Pelodiscus sinensis: one gene and its partner. The protein of the gene in region 1 interacts with the protein of each later gene in a pairwise test. Links are inferred from orthologs where the notes say so. Each region holds a gene or a part of one and is shown on either strand. Other genes may lie near its edges.

Region 1 (7,423 bases):
AATAGAAAGAGTCATGGTTCCATATTCTGTCCTCAGTTGTGTAAATTAAGGCAGAATCTGGCCCTTTGGGTTTATATTCAGTTCTTATTCAATTATTTTTTAATTGAAACATTAGGATTGAGGAGGAAAGGAGGGTGCTGTAAAGATGGGTTAATACAATTTTGGGAGAGCAAATATGATTCAAATTTATGCTGACAACTTGGTTCAGGATGCACAAAAAACTTCTGATTGCAGGATCTTTAATGCTTCTGTTGCAATCAAAAGTATGACAAACGGCTTGATTTCTAGTTTCCTGTGGTAGCAGCTTGACTTACAGATGAAGTGAAATTTAATACTGAAATCACTGAGAGGACATAAAAAGCTCTGTACCCTGTGACAGCTGGCATTTCTAGAGTTGTTTGCAGTATTTTTGTTGTGTTGGTCCCAAAATAAGAGAGACAAGGCAGGTGAGGAAGTATCTTTTATTGAACAACTTCTGTTGGTAGAAGGGACAAGTTTTGAGCTTCACAGAGTTCTTCCTCCGGTCACCTGTAGAGCTGTGATACACAAAGCTCCATCAACAGAAGTTAGTCCAATAAAAGATATTGACCTCAACCACCTGGTCTCTCTCATTTTTACAGTTCATTTTCAAAGAACCACTGTATTTTGCTATTAAAAAAGAATCGTGTTCACAAAGTGATCTTCCAAAGTAGTGTAGTTCCCACCATGTATGACTAGACTATATCTGTATCAAGGTCTCATCCATTCAAATCACTCCTAAAAACACTTCCGCTGTCAGGCCCATAAGCATAAAAATTAAATAACTGTTGGTAGACGAGGCTGTGCTGGAGCTATCTAAAGTGACTCCTTCCTCTCCATCTCTCAGATCATCTGGCCTGTATGTTCTAGAGCAGTGTTTCTCAAACTTTTTTTTTATAAAGTACCCCCTTTAAAAAAAAAATTATAAGTACCCCCAGTACCTACTGTTTTCAGACACACACATTTTTTTTTCTACCATTGCAACACATTTGTTTAAACAACTTAATCGTAGTCGGGCGGGTGATGAAATTTTTGGGTGTAAAAAGTACAAAAATAATAAAGTGCTGTAAAACTTAAAACAAGAATTTTCTCCAAATTTCAGTTGTGTTGACGAACCCCCAGACTTCTCTCGAGTATCCGTAAGGGTACTTATACCACTGGTTGAGAAACACTGAGCTAGAGTGCTGGTTCTCCTGAGGCCAAATATAATGGCTACTGTGGTCAGTGGGAGTCTATAAATAATAAAAATGGATTAGACAAGGCACACCCAAGACTCTACGGTAGAGAACACTATCAGAAGTAATGGCCTAAATAACCATATGCATTTTCCATTTCTACATTCTATTTTCCATTCTTAAATACACAAAATTTTACACCAACTGGTTCTCGACAAATCTAGTCTGTGAAACATCAAATTCCAATCCAGGAGGTGTCCTCTTTTTTTATGTTGCCACTATAAAATGCCTTCTCTAGACGACTCCAGCAGAAATCCCCCTATTAATCTGCATTTTCTGTTGTTCTGTGGGGTTTTTTCCTTTGTTTTTGCATGAGGGCATGTCTGTAAATTTAAAAATAATAGCACAGCTCAGAAGAAAGAGCTCAAGGTATTGTATTGAAATATCAAGATTCTATTCCTGTCACTGATTCATTTCCCTGTTAAACAAGGACTAGTTGCATGAATCCATCTTTGCAACAAGGAAACAAGCTGAGAAGGTGCTGAGGGCAGTTCCTGTAGCTACAAAGTCCATAGGCACAACTTGGAAACTTTGCAAAACCAAAAATAAATGCAGCATTGCATTCCACACACACCCACCTGGAAACAGGATGGGAAAGTGGAGTGAGAGCAACTCCAGCAATTCTGGGAAACAGTTTACCTGGGACCTAGCAGTTTCTGAGGCACTAGATCGGCCTGGAAGATGAATGAACAAACACCAACCAAACAATACCCACTAATAGATGGACAGACACTGAATGATGAACACAGATGGACAGAGAGACACAGAGATAGAAGTTAATCATCTTGAGTGAAGGCCTATAGGCCAGGCACCCCAATGCTGAGCTGGTCCCTACCAAAGTCCCCAAAGGGTGGGGAGCTGGAAGCGGGTACTGGCCTGCGGGTCCTGGCTCTGCTGCTGCTGCTGGCTGCCGGGGTGGTTTTGGCTCCTTCACACCTGCCCCCGGGGCTGCTGTGGTCCGAGGCGCTGGGGCCAGCTGCAGGAACCTTCCGACCTTTACCATGAACCGGGGTGCAGGGCACAGGTGGTGACTTCTCCCTGGGTGAGGCATCTGGGTCCTGCCCCTGCATTGCCTTCTGAGCTGCCATGATCTTCTGGCGCTCTGTAATGAGTGCACACTTGTCGCAGGGGCAGAGCTTCCAGCGGCAGTGGCCTGTGTGGCCCTTCACCGGCACCACAAAGCCATGGTTCCGGCAGCGGGAGCACTTGGGGGTGCGCAGAGTAGTCTTCTCAGCCATCCCTGCTGCCTCCGCTTCCATGGCACTCCCAGCCAGGCACACACGTAAAGCACCCTGTGTACCCAGAATTTGAAGAAGCTCAGCTTAGAAGCAGGGCGGGGCAAAGCCGGGGTGTGCCCACCACCACTGGCGACAATGTAGCAACTAAGCCTGCTCAGCCTTTTGCAAGAGGAGAGGATGAGCTATGCTCCCTGGCACACTGCAGCAAAGTAGCTTTGTAAAGAAGACATAGAGGGCCAAGTTTGCAAAAACATGCCCTCTGATTCTGCACAAGCAACCATTTGTGGGCACATCCCTGGGGCTTTCATGTGTAAGTTACAGAGTAACACACCTGATTTACATAGGCAAAGGCAGTGATTGCAAAAGGATATTTTACGCCCTCTAGAAGCGGAATCTGCTTGGGACCCTTTTAGGGTTGTCAGTTTTGGTAGGACATATTCCTGGACATGACATCACATGACACAGTCTTTAATTAAAAATCAGTCTTTGTTCTGGAGTGCTCACGAATTAATGCTGGAGGCTGGGCAACCTGGCTCCTTTCTGCCTTTCATTAAAATCTTCCCTTTTTGGTACCACAGTTACCATCATATCTTGCATGCATCTTATACTGGAATTATTTCCGTTTCATTTTTTTTTTCAAACTAACATGTATTTTTCTTGAACACGTGGGGAGAGCCTCACTCCTTCAGTAGAAAAACTTCTGATCACCATTCTGGTTTTTTACAATGTTCATCTCATCCAGTGTACCACGAGGGCAAAAAGCACACTGAGGGTATGTCTGCACTACCACCCTAGTTCGAACTAGGGTGGTTAATGTAGTCAATCAAAGTTGCAAATGAAGCCCGGGATTTAAATATCCCGGGCTTCATTTGCATCTTGCTGGGCGCCGCCATTTTTAAATCCCTGGTAGTTCGGACTCTGTGCCCGCGGCTACACGCGGCATGGAGTAGGTAGTTTGAATTAGGCTTTCTAATTCGAACTACCATTACACCTCGTTCGAAAGCCTAATTCGAACTACCTACTCCGTGCCGTGTGTAGCCGCGGGCACGGAGTCCGAACTACTGGGGATTTAAAAATGGCGGCACCTGGCAAGATGCAAATGAAGCCCGGGATATTTAAATCCCGGGCTTCATTTGCAACTTCGATTGACTACATTAACCACCCCAGTTCGAACTAGGGTGGTAGTGTAGACATACCCTGAGTTCCTCCAATCATATATCTCCCTTTGCCACATCTTTACTAACTGTAAACATACATGCAGGGCCGGCCCACAACATTTTGGCACCTGAGGCGGGGAGCTCAAATGACACCCCCATGTCTCCTCGCTTTGGCCAAAACTTTGAAAGGTCTCAATTCTGCCTTGTTCCTCTTCTACTCCTCTCATGGTACTGCAGATGGAATACATATGCACCAGCAGCAGACACAATTTTCTACACTCTGTGTCCTAGTGGAGCCCCCCGCCCCCCACAATCTGGCACCTGAAGCGGCCACCTCAGTTTGCCTCATGGTAAGGCCAGTCCTGCATACATGGGTTTAAAATTAAAAATGTAATAATGCTCCTGTTTCATTATTGCTTGTAAAACTACCTGTGTTTTTATTCCACTAGGCTAGTACTTACAAAACTATAACTCTTATACAATAGCCCCTTTTCAGGGCAAACCTGAACAGTGGAAGGAAGCATACAGCAGGTCTTTCTCACATGAAAGGAGTTAAGTTTGTGACCGTGTGATCAATCAGGGTGTGTCCAGACTACAGAGTTTTTTTCAGAAAAAATGGCCTTTTTTTGAAAAAAACGTACCCTGAGTCTAGACTGCTGCCATGTTCTTGCGAAAGTAAATTGAAAGAATGCAGCAGTTTTTTAGATCACGGAAAACCTTGTTTCACGAGGCATAATGCCTTTTTTTTTAAAGTGCTCCTTTGAAAAAAAGATGCTATGTAATGCAAACTGTGCTTTTTTGAAAGAGAGCATCCAGACTGCATGGGTGCTCTCTTTTGAAAAAGCTTGCTTTTTCAAAAGTACTGGGTGTAGTCTAGCCACTCTTTTTTGAAAGAGGCTTTTTCAAAAGTATCTTTTGAAAAAGGCTTGCAGTCTAGATGTAGCCTCTGTGGCCTCAGTCCTTCATTTACTCATCAGCTTCAGGAGGAATTCGCAGGATGAAGGAGGTATTACTGCTGCTTTCTGACAGTTGCAACAGAATATGTTTCACAGTGCAGTTCAAGGTTACATAGATCCTTCCTTGCAGCACTGCCTTGCACCTTCCACCTCCTATGGGTGGAAATTGTAACAAAAACTGTTGACTTTTAAACTAGTCTCCTGCCAGATACTGAGGATGGCATGTTCAAAAGCTCCTAAGTGATTTTCAAGTGTGAGCCCTGTTGAGCCCGAGTGGGGCTTCTGACTTAGCATAGGGAAAATTTTCAAGAGTGCTCAAGTCCTCTTGACATTTATGCAAGTTTGGTGTCTAACTTGCTTAGGGTCTAGTGGGATTTTCCAAAGTGCTGATCTGAACCAATAGATGCCCATCTAGCTTTGAAAATCTGTCCTCAAAGAGTATGCCTACACTGCAATCAAACAGAGGGTTGCCGGGGTGTCCGGTTTTTGATTGGAACACCAGCTTGAAAAGGGACCCTCGTGGCACCGCTGACCAGGCCATTTAAAGTATGGTTGGCCACCTGCAGCAAGGCAGGTAGCATGCCTGCCCAACTCCTCATAGCTCCTGAGAAGTGCCGGCATCTCCCTCTGGCTCCTAGGCAGAGGGAAGACATAGGGGGCTCCCTCCATCCCGTGCATCAGCTCTGTAGCTCCCACTGGTTGGGAACCATGGCCAATAGAAGCTGAGACGGCAGCACCTGCAGGCAGAGGCAGTGTATGAGCCACCTGGCCACACTTCCTCCTAGGAGCCTGAGAGAGATGACACCAATTCCAGGAGCCACCTGAGATGAACACCGACCTGAGCCTTCTCTCTGAACCCTCTCCCATGTCCCAGACTCCTGTCCCAGCCCTGAACCCCCTCACGCACCCAAACTCCCTACCAGAGCCTGCGGCCCCTCCTGCACGGAGCACGCTCCCACACTCTGAACCTCTCAGCACCACACTGCAGTCCAGCTCAAAATCTTCATTTCTTGCCTCACCCCAGAGCATGCACACGCCCTTTTTGCACCCCAACCTCCTGTCCTGTCCTGGTGAAAGTGAGTGAGGGTGGGAGAGAGGGAGGGAGAGTAGACGGGAGTGAGCAGGGGGCAGAGCCTCAGAGAAGGGGAAGGCAGGGCCAGGTCCTCAGACAAGGAGTGAGGCAAAGCTGTTTGGTACTCTGCAAATAAAACACCCACATCTTGCCCACATCAGTTGACTGTGGCTCATCAGCTTTTGGAGTTATGAAAGTAGACTGCAGAGTAGATATTCGGGCTTGGGCTGGAGCTTAGGGTCTGGGACCGCACGAGATGAAAGGGGCTCAGAGCCAGGCTCCTACCAGAGATCAGATGTCTACATTGCAAGGCTGTGTCTACACTGGCCCCTTCTTCGGAAGAGGCATGCTAATTTCTAACTTTGGAATAGGGAAATCCGTGGGGGATTTAAATATCCCCCGCGGGATTTAAATAAACATGTCCACCGCTTTTTTTCCGGCTTGGGGAAAAGCCGGAAAAGAGCGTCCAGACTGGTGCGATCCTCCGGAATAAAGCCCTTTTCCGGAGGATCTCTTATTCCTACTTTCAAGTAGGCTTTATACTTTCAAGTAGGAATAAGAGATCCTCCGGCAAAGGGCTTTATTCCGGAGGATTGCGCCAGTCTGGACGCTCTTTTCCAGCTTTTCCCCAAGCCGGAAAAAAAGCAGCGGACATGTTTATTTAAATCCCGCGGGGGATATTTAAATCCCCCGCGGATTTCCCTATTCCAAAGTTAGAAATTAGCATGCCTCTTCCGGAGAAGGGGCCAGTGTAGACGTAGCCCAACTGTATAGCCCTGAAACCCAAACCCCACAAATGGATGTCAGCTGATACAGACCTCAGGTGTCCTACTGCAGTACAGGAATATCCAGAGTCACTGAGGGTACATCTACATTGCAGCAATAAGCCCTAGGTTAATAGAACTTGAGTTAGCAGACCCTGGATTTGTTAAACAAGGGCTTGAGTGTCTACATTCATTTGTAACCCCAAGTTAGGGATTCCTGAGCCCTCGGATCCAACCTGGGGCTGCAGCACCTACACTGATTATGAGGGCCCAAGTCCAACTATCCGTATGCCGTACTTCCTAGCACCTCTCCAAATTGTGACCACTCTAGCCCTTTGTTCATGGTCTATGAGGGGAAATGTGATAGTCCAAAGCATAAAGAAAGTTGGCGTGTAGGTCTGTTGGTGGACTCCAAGGCTTTGCCTACACTGCAGGGTTCTGCGCAAGAAGCCTTTTGTGGAAGAGAGCTTCCGCAAAACCTTCTTGCGCAAAAGCGTGTCCAGATCTCAAAGCGCATTGCAAAAGCGATGTGCGTTTGTGTAGGAGTGTCTACACTGCATGGTCACAGAATGGCCATCAGAGCACTTGTGCTTTTGCCAATAGGAGTTTCTTGTGCAAAAACCCCTCTGAAGTGTCCACACCTGCCTTTTTGCGCAAGAGCTGTAGCGCAAAAAGGAGTTATTTCTCGTGGGGAGAGGAATAATTCTACCAGCAAAAGCCCTCTGTTCTGCTGATTTACTTGTGTAAAAATACACTTGAGGTGTGGATGCTCCACCGGTTTTTGCGCCAAAACCAGCTCTTTTGCGCAAAAACCTTTCAGTGTAGACATAGCCCAAAAGCACAAATTCAGATAATTGTGCAGATAATTATTTTCAGGATAGATTGAAAGCAACATCAATATTGCAAAGCAATAGGGCTTGAACTAGCTTGACTCAGGCTTAGACCCTCCACACCTGAGAGGTCCTGTGACCCTGAGTCCAAGT
Region 2 (7,115 bases), on another chromosome or scaffold:
AAGAACCCCAACCCTCCAGCTCAGCCTGTCCCAGTGAGGGGAGTGGGGTGCCCTCTGAGATGAGGGGTCAGCAAGCTCCCCTCCCAGAGGGAGCCACCTCAGGAGCTGGGGCTGAATGGGGTGAGCCATGCCTGGGGGTTTGGCCTGGGCCGCATGTGCAGGGAAGAGGGTGGCAGCCAAGCGCTGGGCAGAAACAGAAGCAGGCAGCAGCCGACTGACCTTGTCTTTCTCTGTGGCTCGAATGTCTTCTCTCCTGTAAGAAGAGACAGCGAGATCTCAGCCCGCGCCTGCTGGGCCCAGGGCCACGCTCGCCTCTCTGGAGACGCAGCCCTGGCTGCCCCATCAGGGCTTATGCAGCCGTTCCCCAGGACGCGGCCCGGCACTGGGCAGAAGGCATTAGCTTGCAGGAGCCAGTCTTAGGACAAGGGGTGAGCTGCAGGGCAGCAGAGCTGGCTCTGTTCCCCAGGCAGGGCTGGGCATACATTGGTAAAGTACAGGGGGAACCACCCTCCCCCAGACCCTGGGGATGGGCCCGTGAGGTCAGGCCTTACCGTATGGTACCTCGGAAGGTGGATTTCAGCGGCGTGGAGCCGATGTAGAGGATGCGCACCTTGGCAAAGCGGGAGTTAATGCTGCACACCTGTGGGGAGAATCTGGCATGACCCCCCAGCTAAGCATAGCTCCCCCAGGCACCCAAGTACTGGGCAGCAAGACCAGCAGGGACTGGCCCCGCCCCTGCTCCACTGTAGGGGAACTAACCTAACCACCCACCCACAGCCAGTCAGAGCCCCCCGTTCCCCTGCCCGGTGATCGACTCACTGCCACACTCCGCTCCGGGGAGAGCTTGCAACTCCCAGCCACACCCACCTGCTTCTCCCAACCAGCAGCCTATTCCCCTCCAGGCTGCCCCCGGAAGCCCCTTGGTGGAAAGCAGGAATTCGGCCTCCATGGCCTCTAGGCTGAGGGTGCCAATGCCAGCGATGGAGGGGGCACCGCGCCCCGACACTTGGTTCCCAGAGCAGAGTGGGCTGGCTGGAACTGGTGCCAGGGAGCCAAGAGGCTCCCTGCCTCTCACAGAGCCACCCCGGAGCCCGCCAGCCCCTTGCGGAGAAGCCTGGCATGAGGCAGAGAGGGGATCAGCCAGAGGTTGAGCAGCAGAGGAGGTTTGTAACCCTTTCCGGTCCTTGCACAGGCATCCGGCCTGCCCTCCCCCCACCGAACGCGGCGCTCCTGCAGCAAGAGACCCAGCAGCGGAGCCGGCCAGGCAGGCGTTTACCTTGCACGTCACAATGGCCCCCACGTCGGGCAGGAGCTGGGACTCGACGTCTCTCACCACAGACACCACCGGCAGCTGCACAGGCGTAGAGAGGAGCCCTTGGTTAGCCCTGTGCCTGGCACGGCCACCTCCCACCCCCACAGAGCCAGTGTCGGCATACCACGTCCACCAGGCCCGGCCCAGCCCGGCCAAGCACTCGTCCCTGCATGCTTCAGTTACGTGTTTAGTCATCCTCCGTCATGTGACCTACTCCCCGCTTTTCACAGGACTCAAATCTTGAATTTCAGATCAATGAGCTCTCCTGGGTGGTCTCTGGCCAGACTGCCTGTCTCTCCTGTGCCCGAAAGTGTCACCCAGAAAAACTACCAACTCTCTAGAGCTACTTTCCCCCTAGACTCGCTTCCATGGGCTCTAGCCTACCAACTCCCCGAGTTACTCAAGTCTGCCTTCTTGAATCCCACTGTCGCTCTTGGGCTGGCCTTTCCCACCATTCCTTACCTCGCCACTTCCTGTTCGCTTTCACCCAGGCTGCCTTCCACTCTCAAATTCTCAACCAGCTCCTCCCTAGTTGTCAAAATCAAACCTAGAGCAGCCTCCCACAGATGCTTTCTGCAATACACTCCAGACTCCTCTTGGATGCCCTGTGCCCTGCTGCCTTCTTTTCCCAGCCGGGGACGTAACAGTGCAACCGCTTAACCCATAAGCCTCAACCCCGCCGCTCACAAGCCTCAGCTGATCAGTTTCCGTTTCGGTTACTCGCTGGCTCCCTGGGAGGCTCCACTGTGGGTTTTCCGTATAAGTGTTATACCGCACAGCCAGCAGCACGTGACCCTGGGATCTGGAGCGGTCACATTGTTAGGTGGCTTTTGAGCTCCCTATTCCCAAGAGATGTCCTGGCCGCTGAAGTCCCCCATCACTAGGGCCCTGCAAGCCCATGGGTAGTCTCAGGCATCCACACCTGCGGATGTCAAGGCGGCTCACTTCACATCCACAGGGTGGGTCAAAACCCCTCAGCCCCTTTCTGTCCTGGCTAGGAGGCCTGCAGCAGACACCTCCCATGACATCGCCCTTCGCCTGCCCCAGAGACAGCCAGTCTGCCCGCGTCCATGGCCTCAGGCCGAGCACCCCCCCCGGCAAGCTGCACCCCCCGTGCCCAGACGCCCCCCCCCGGCAAGCTGCACCCCCCGTGCCCAGACTCCAGCGGGTCCTCCGGGGGCGGGGCACTCAGGTGGGGGCGGGGCTTGCAGGGGGCCAGCAGCAGGACGCCCCCCCTCACCTCTCCGTCCCGGCGCGTGGTGAGCAGGCCGCCGGCCAGCGCGGCGCACACGGAGCCCAGCCGGGTGTAGGTGCCGCTGCCCGGCGCCGCCTCCTGCAGCCCGCAGAGCCGCTCGCCTGGGGACAGCAAGCGTCAGCCCGGCGGGGGGGCACGAGCCGGGGGGGGGCGGTGAGGGGGGGAGGGGCGGTAAGGGGAAGGGGGCGCGAGCCGGCGGGGGGGGCAGTGAGGGGGAGGGGGGCGCGAGGGTTAAGGGGGGGTAAGGGGAGGAGGGGGCGCGAGCCGGCCGGGACGGTTAAGGGGGGGGCGGGGAGGGGGAGGGGGAGGGGCTCACCGGGCACGCAGCACCGCGCCGGCCGGGCCATGCTGCCGCTCCGCAGCTCCCCGGGAAGGAAGTTTCCCATTGGCCGGTGCTCCCACGTGACCGCTACCGCCTGCGGGGAGGGGACGCCGGCCAGCGCGGGGCGCTTCGGGAGTTGCAGTCTGGAGCGGAGAGACTACAGCTCCCGGCATGCTCCGCGGGGCGCGCCGCGCAGGCGCAGTGAGCCTCAGGTACCGGGGTGATGCCCGGCCGGCGGTGAGGGCTGGGGCCGGGGCAGATGGAGGCGGGGTGCGGGCCGGCAGGTAAGGGGGGCGGGGCGGGTATCTCGCGGAGGGGGCGGGGGTTCCGAGGGGGCGGGGCGGAGGGTTCCAGGGGGAGGGGGTGTCTCGGAGGGGGGCGGGGGATTCCAAGGGGGCGGGGCGGAGGGTTCCAAGGGGGCGGGGCGGGGGGTTCAGGGGGGAGGGGGTATCTCGCGGAGGGGGTGTCTCGGAGGGGGGCGGGGGGTTCCAGGGGGAGGGGGTATCTCGCGGAGGGGGTGTCTCGGAGGGGGGCGGGGGGGTTCCAGGGGGAGGGGGTATCTCGCGGAGGGGGTGTCTCTCGGAGGGGGGGCGGGGGGTTCCAGGGGGAGGGGGGTATCTCGCGGAGGGGGGTGTCTCGGAGGGGGACGGGGGGTTCCAGGGGGAGGGGGTATCTCGCGGAGGGGGTGTCTCGGAGGGGGACGGGGGGTTCCCAGGGGGAGGGGGTATCTCGCGGAGGGGGTGTCCTCGGAGGGGGGGCGGGGGGGGCGGGGGCTGTCTCCCTCTGTGGCCCCCAGGCAGTGACGCCCCCCTGTCCGTGCCCTCGCGGGAGGCTCTTGCTGCAGGGGGCTCTGCAGACCCCCATGTCTGTGGCCCGGCCGGGGGTTTGGGCACCTGGCTCGGCTCACGCCCCCCAGGACCAGCGGTGGGTGGGTACCTCCCCCATCCGCGGCGGAGAGGCCCCGAGCACACACTGGTCGTCCTGCAATGGACACGCTGGGGTGCAGCGCCCTCCGAGCTGCCTGCCAGGCGGGAGACACAGAGGCCTGGTTCCAGGGTGATGGGTGCATCAGAACAGCCTCGGGTAGACGAGATCCTCTGCCTGTGGGATTCCCACCCGCTGCACAGCACCACCCTTAGCCCGCACCCTGGCCTGGAGACGCCAGCCCAGCAGAGATCGGGTGCACCTGCTTTAATTCACCGCAGTATTTTCTGAAATCGGATGCCTCCCTTTTCGGTGGGGCACGTTCAAAAGACAGTGAGAACCCCCCCGCCGGCTGTGCGTGATACCCCTCCCCCCGTCAGCCTTCCCAAGTAAAACATTCGCTGAACATCCCGGCCAGAGAAAACAGAGGGAGAGCTGCCCCAGCCCCACATGCCGGGGCTGGAGGAGCCGGCCTGGGAGGGAGTATTATAGGGCCGCAGTGGGGAGAAGGGCCTAGTCTGGGGCAAGGCTGAGCGCTGCAGGAGACAGGCCTCTGAGAGGCAGGGCAGAGGCTTTGTTCGGCCAGTCCTCCCCAGAGACAGGTGCTAGTTAGGCCGAGAAGCCGGCTCCAGGGCCCCTGCTTGGGCTGCCTACTCGACACGCTGTGCTCAGCTCTGTGCCTGAGCCCTGCTGGGGGCAGCCTCTCCTCGTTGATGCTGGGTGTGCCTCAGGGAGGTGGCTCCATGCCCGGGCAGGCTCAGGTTCCTCCTCACTCCAGCTGACTGCAGGCCAGTGCGCACAGCTCAGCAGGCAGGTGAGCAGCCTGGTAGGGCCCCATGCCCACTGCCCCCTTTGGCCAGCTCATCCTGCTTCCGCCCAGGGGCTGTGCCTTGGCTTCCAGGGCCGCCCTGCACTGAATTGGACTCGGGGGTGGACAGAGATCACACCCCTGGCTGGGGCTGTGCGCAAGCAGCTCCCAGGGCCGGGTTCAGGAGGGAGGTGGGAGATGGGGTGGTGGGCTTTTAATGCCGCCTGTCCCCCCCTGCGGGCTCCCTGGCTCTGAGCGCCAGGGTCTCTGGCGACGCTGGCAGCCTGTGAGTGCCCTGAGCTCCGTCTCTGGTTTCTTCTGCGTCTGGGCCAGTGAACACCTGAGCCGGGATGGGGGCAGGGAGCAGAAGGCTCTGCGCTCCTGTGCCCCAGGAGCCGGGCTCATTCCCCTTGCTGGGCCCACCAAGGTCTCCGGCACCCCCGTCCCGACCCAGAGGGGTGGCTTGTGCCTGCCAGGGGGCACTGCCAGCAGGGCAGAGGCAGAAACCCTGCCAGAGCAGGGAGCTGAAGGCGGCCCAGCGCCACGCACGGCCGGGGAGTGAGCCTGTGAGTCTCTTCCCGCTGCTGAGCACTGGCCCAGTCCGGGGGACGCTGCCCCGGTGCGGAGGGCAGGTCCGGGTGGCGCTGAGCCGGGCTCTCTCCGCAGACGGTGCGCGGTGGGGATGAGGAGCCGCCAGCGGGCGTTCTCCGCGGTGATGCGCCTCTTTCTGAAGTGCCTGCGCGTGGGCCGGCGACGCAGGCTGAGGCTGGTGTGGCGGGTGCAGCAGCTGTGGCGCTACGGGCGCCTTTGCCTCCACTCCCTGCTCTACAACTCCTTCACCAACAGCGACGTGCTGCTCGACTCCCTCTTCGAGCCCATCTACTGGCTGGTAGACCATGTCACCCGCTGGTTTGGGGTGGTAAGTGCCTGGCGGGGGGACAGCCCTGGGCTGGCGGTGGGGGGCCTGGCGGGGGGACAGCCCTGGGCTGGCGGTGGGGGGCCTGGCGGGGGTGACAGCCCTGGGCTGGCGGTGGGGGGCCTGGCGGGGTGAGAGCCCTGGGCTGGCGGTGGGGGGCCTGGCGGGGTGAGAGCCCTGGGCTGGCGGTGGGGGTGCCTGGCGGGGTGAGAGCCCTGGGCTGGCAGTGGGGGTGCCTGGCGGGGGGACAGCCCTGGGCTGGCGGTGGGGGGCCTGGCGGGGTGACAGCCCTGGGCTGGCGGTGGGGGGCCTGGCGGGGGGACAGCCCTGGGCTGGCGGTGGGGGTGCCTGGCGGGGGGACAGCCCTGGGCTGGCGGTGGGGGGCGTGGTGGGGGGACAGCCCTGGGCTGGCGGTGGGGGGCCTGGCGGGGTGACAGCCCTGGGCTGGTGGTGGGGGGCGTGGTGGGGGGACAGCCCTGGGCTGGTGGTGGGGGTGCCTGGTGGGGGGACAGCCCTGGGCTGGCGGTGGGGGTGCCTGGTGGGGGGACAGCCCTGGGCTGGCGGTGGGGGTGCCTGGTGGGGGGACAGCCCTGGGCTGGCGGTGGGGGTGCCTGGCGGGGGGACAGGCCTGGGCTGGCGGTGGGGGGGGCCTGGCGGGGGGACAGCCCTGGGCTGGCGGTGGGGGGTGCCTGGCGGGAAGACAGCCCTGGGCTGGCGGTGGGGGGACAGCCCTGGGCTGGCGGTGGGGGGCCTGGCGGGGTGAGAGCCCTGGGCTGGCGGTGGGGGTGCCTGGCGGGGGGTGACAGCCCTGGGCTGGCGGTGGGGGTGCCTGGCAGGGGGACAGCCCTGGGCTGGCGGTGGGGGGCCTGGCGGGGGGACAGCCCTGGGCTGGCGGTGGGGGGCCTGGCGGGGGGACAGCCCTGGGCTGGCGGTGGGGGGGCCTGGCGGGGGGGACAGCCCTGGGCTGGCGGTGGGGGGCGTGGTGGGGGGACAGCCCTGGGCTGGTGGTGGGGGTGCCTGGCGGGGGGACAGCCCTGGGCTGGTGGTGGGGGTGCCTGGCGGGGGGACAGCCCTGGGCTGGTGGTGGGGGGTGCCTGGCGGGGTGACAGGCCTGGGCTGGCGGTGGGGAGCGTGGGGGGGGACAGCCCTGGGCTGGCGGTGGGGGGCCTGGCGGGGGGACAGCCCTGGGCTGGCGGTGGGGGGTGCCTGGCGGGGGTGACAGGCCTGGGCTGGCGGTGGGGAGCGTGGGGGGGGGACAGCCCTGGGCTGGCGGTGGGGGGCCTGGCGGGGGGACAGCCCTGGGCTGGTGGTGGGGGTGCCTGGCGGGGTGACAGGCCTGGGCTGGCGGTGGGGAGCGTGGGGGGGGGACAGCCCTGGGCTGGTGGTGGGGTGCCTGGCGGGGGGACAGCCCTGGGCTGGCGGTGGGGGGGGCCTGGCGGGGTGACAGGCCTGGGCTGGCGGTGGGGGGGCCTGGCGGGGGTGACAGCCCTGGGCTGGCGGTGGGGGGGCCTGGCGGGGGGACAGCCCTGGGCTGGCGGTGGGGGGCCTGGCGGGAGGAGGCCTGGCGGGAGGACAGCC

The links. The genes of interacting proteins can lie anywhere in the genome.
Region 2: the proteins of DMRTB1 (region 1) and EXOSC1 interact in a two-hybrid assay, tested with the Homo sapiens proteins (2 studies listed by BioGRID). The link is inferred for Pelodiscus sinensis from reciprocal best matches to the Homo sapiens genes DMRTB1 and EXOSC1.

Annotation. Positions count from the first base shown.
Region 1 is NC_134719.1:10,762,351-10,769,773, reverse strand, and holds the start of DMRTB1 (doublesex- and mab-3-related transcription factor B1), read right to left. Parts: upstream 3,010-7,423; 5' UTR 2,513-3,009; coding exon 2,089-2,512; intron 1-2,088.
Region 2 is NW_027465990.1:88,452-95,566, reverse strand, and holds the start of EXOSC1 (exosome complex component CSL4), read right to left. Parts: upstream 3,019-7,115; 5' UTR 2,954-3,018; coding exon 2,884-2,953; intron 2,669-2,883; coding exon 2,553-2,668; intron 1,352-2,552; coding exon 1,277-1,351; intron 641-1,276; coding exon 552-640; intron 254-551; coding exon 220-253; intron 1-219. UniProt on the Homo sapiens protein: Non-catalytic component of the RNA exosome complex which has 3'->5' exoribonuclease activity and participates in a multitude of cellular RNA processing and degradation events.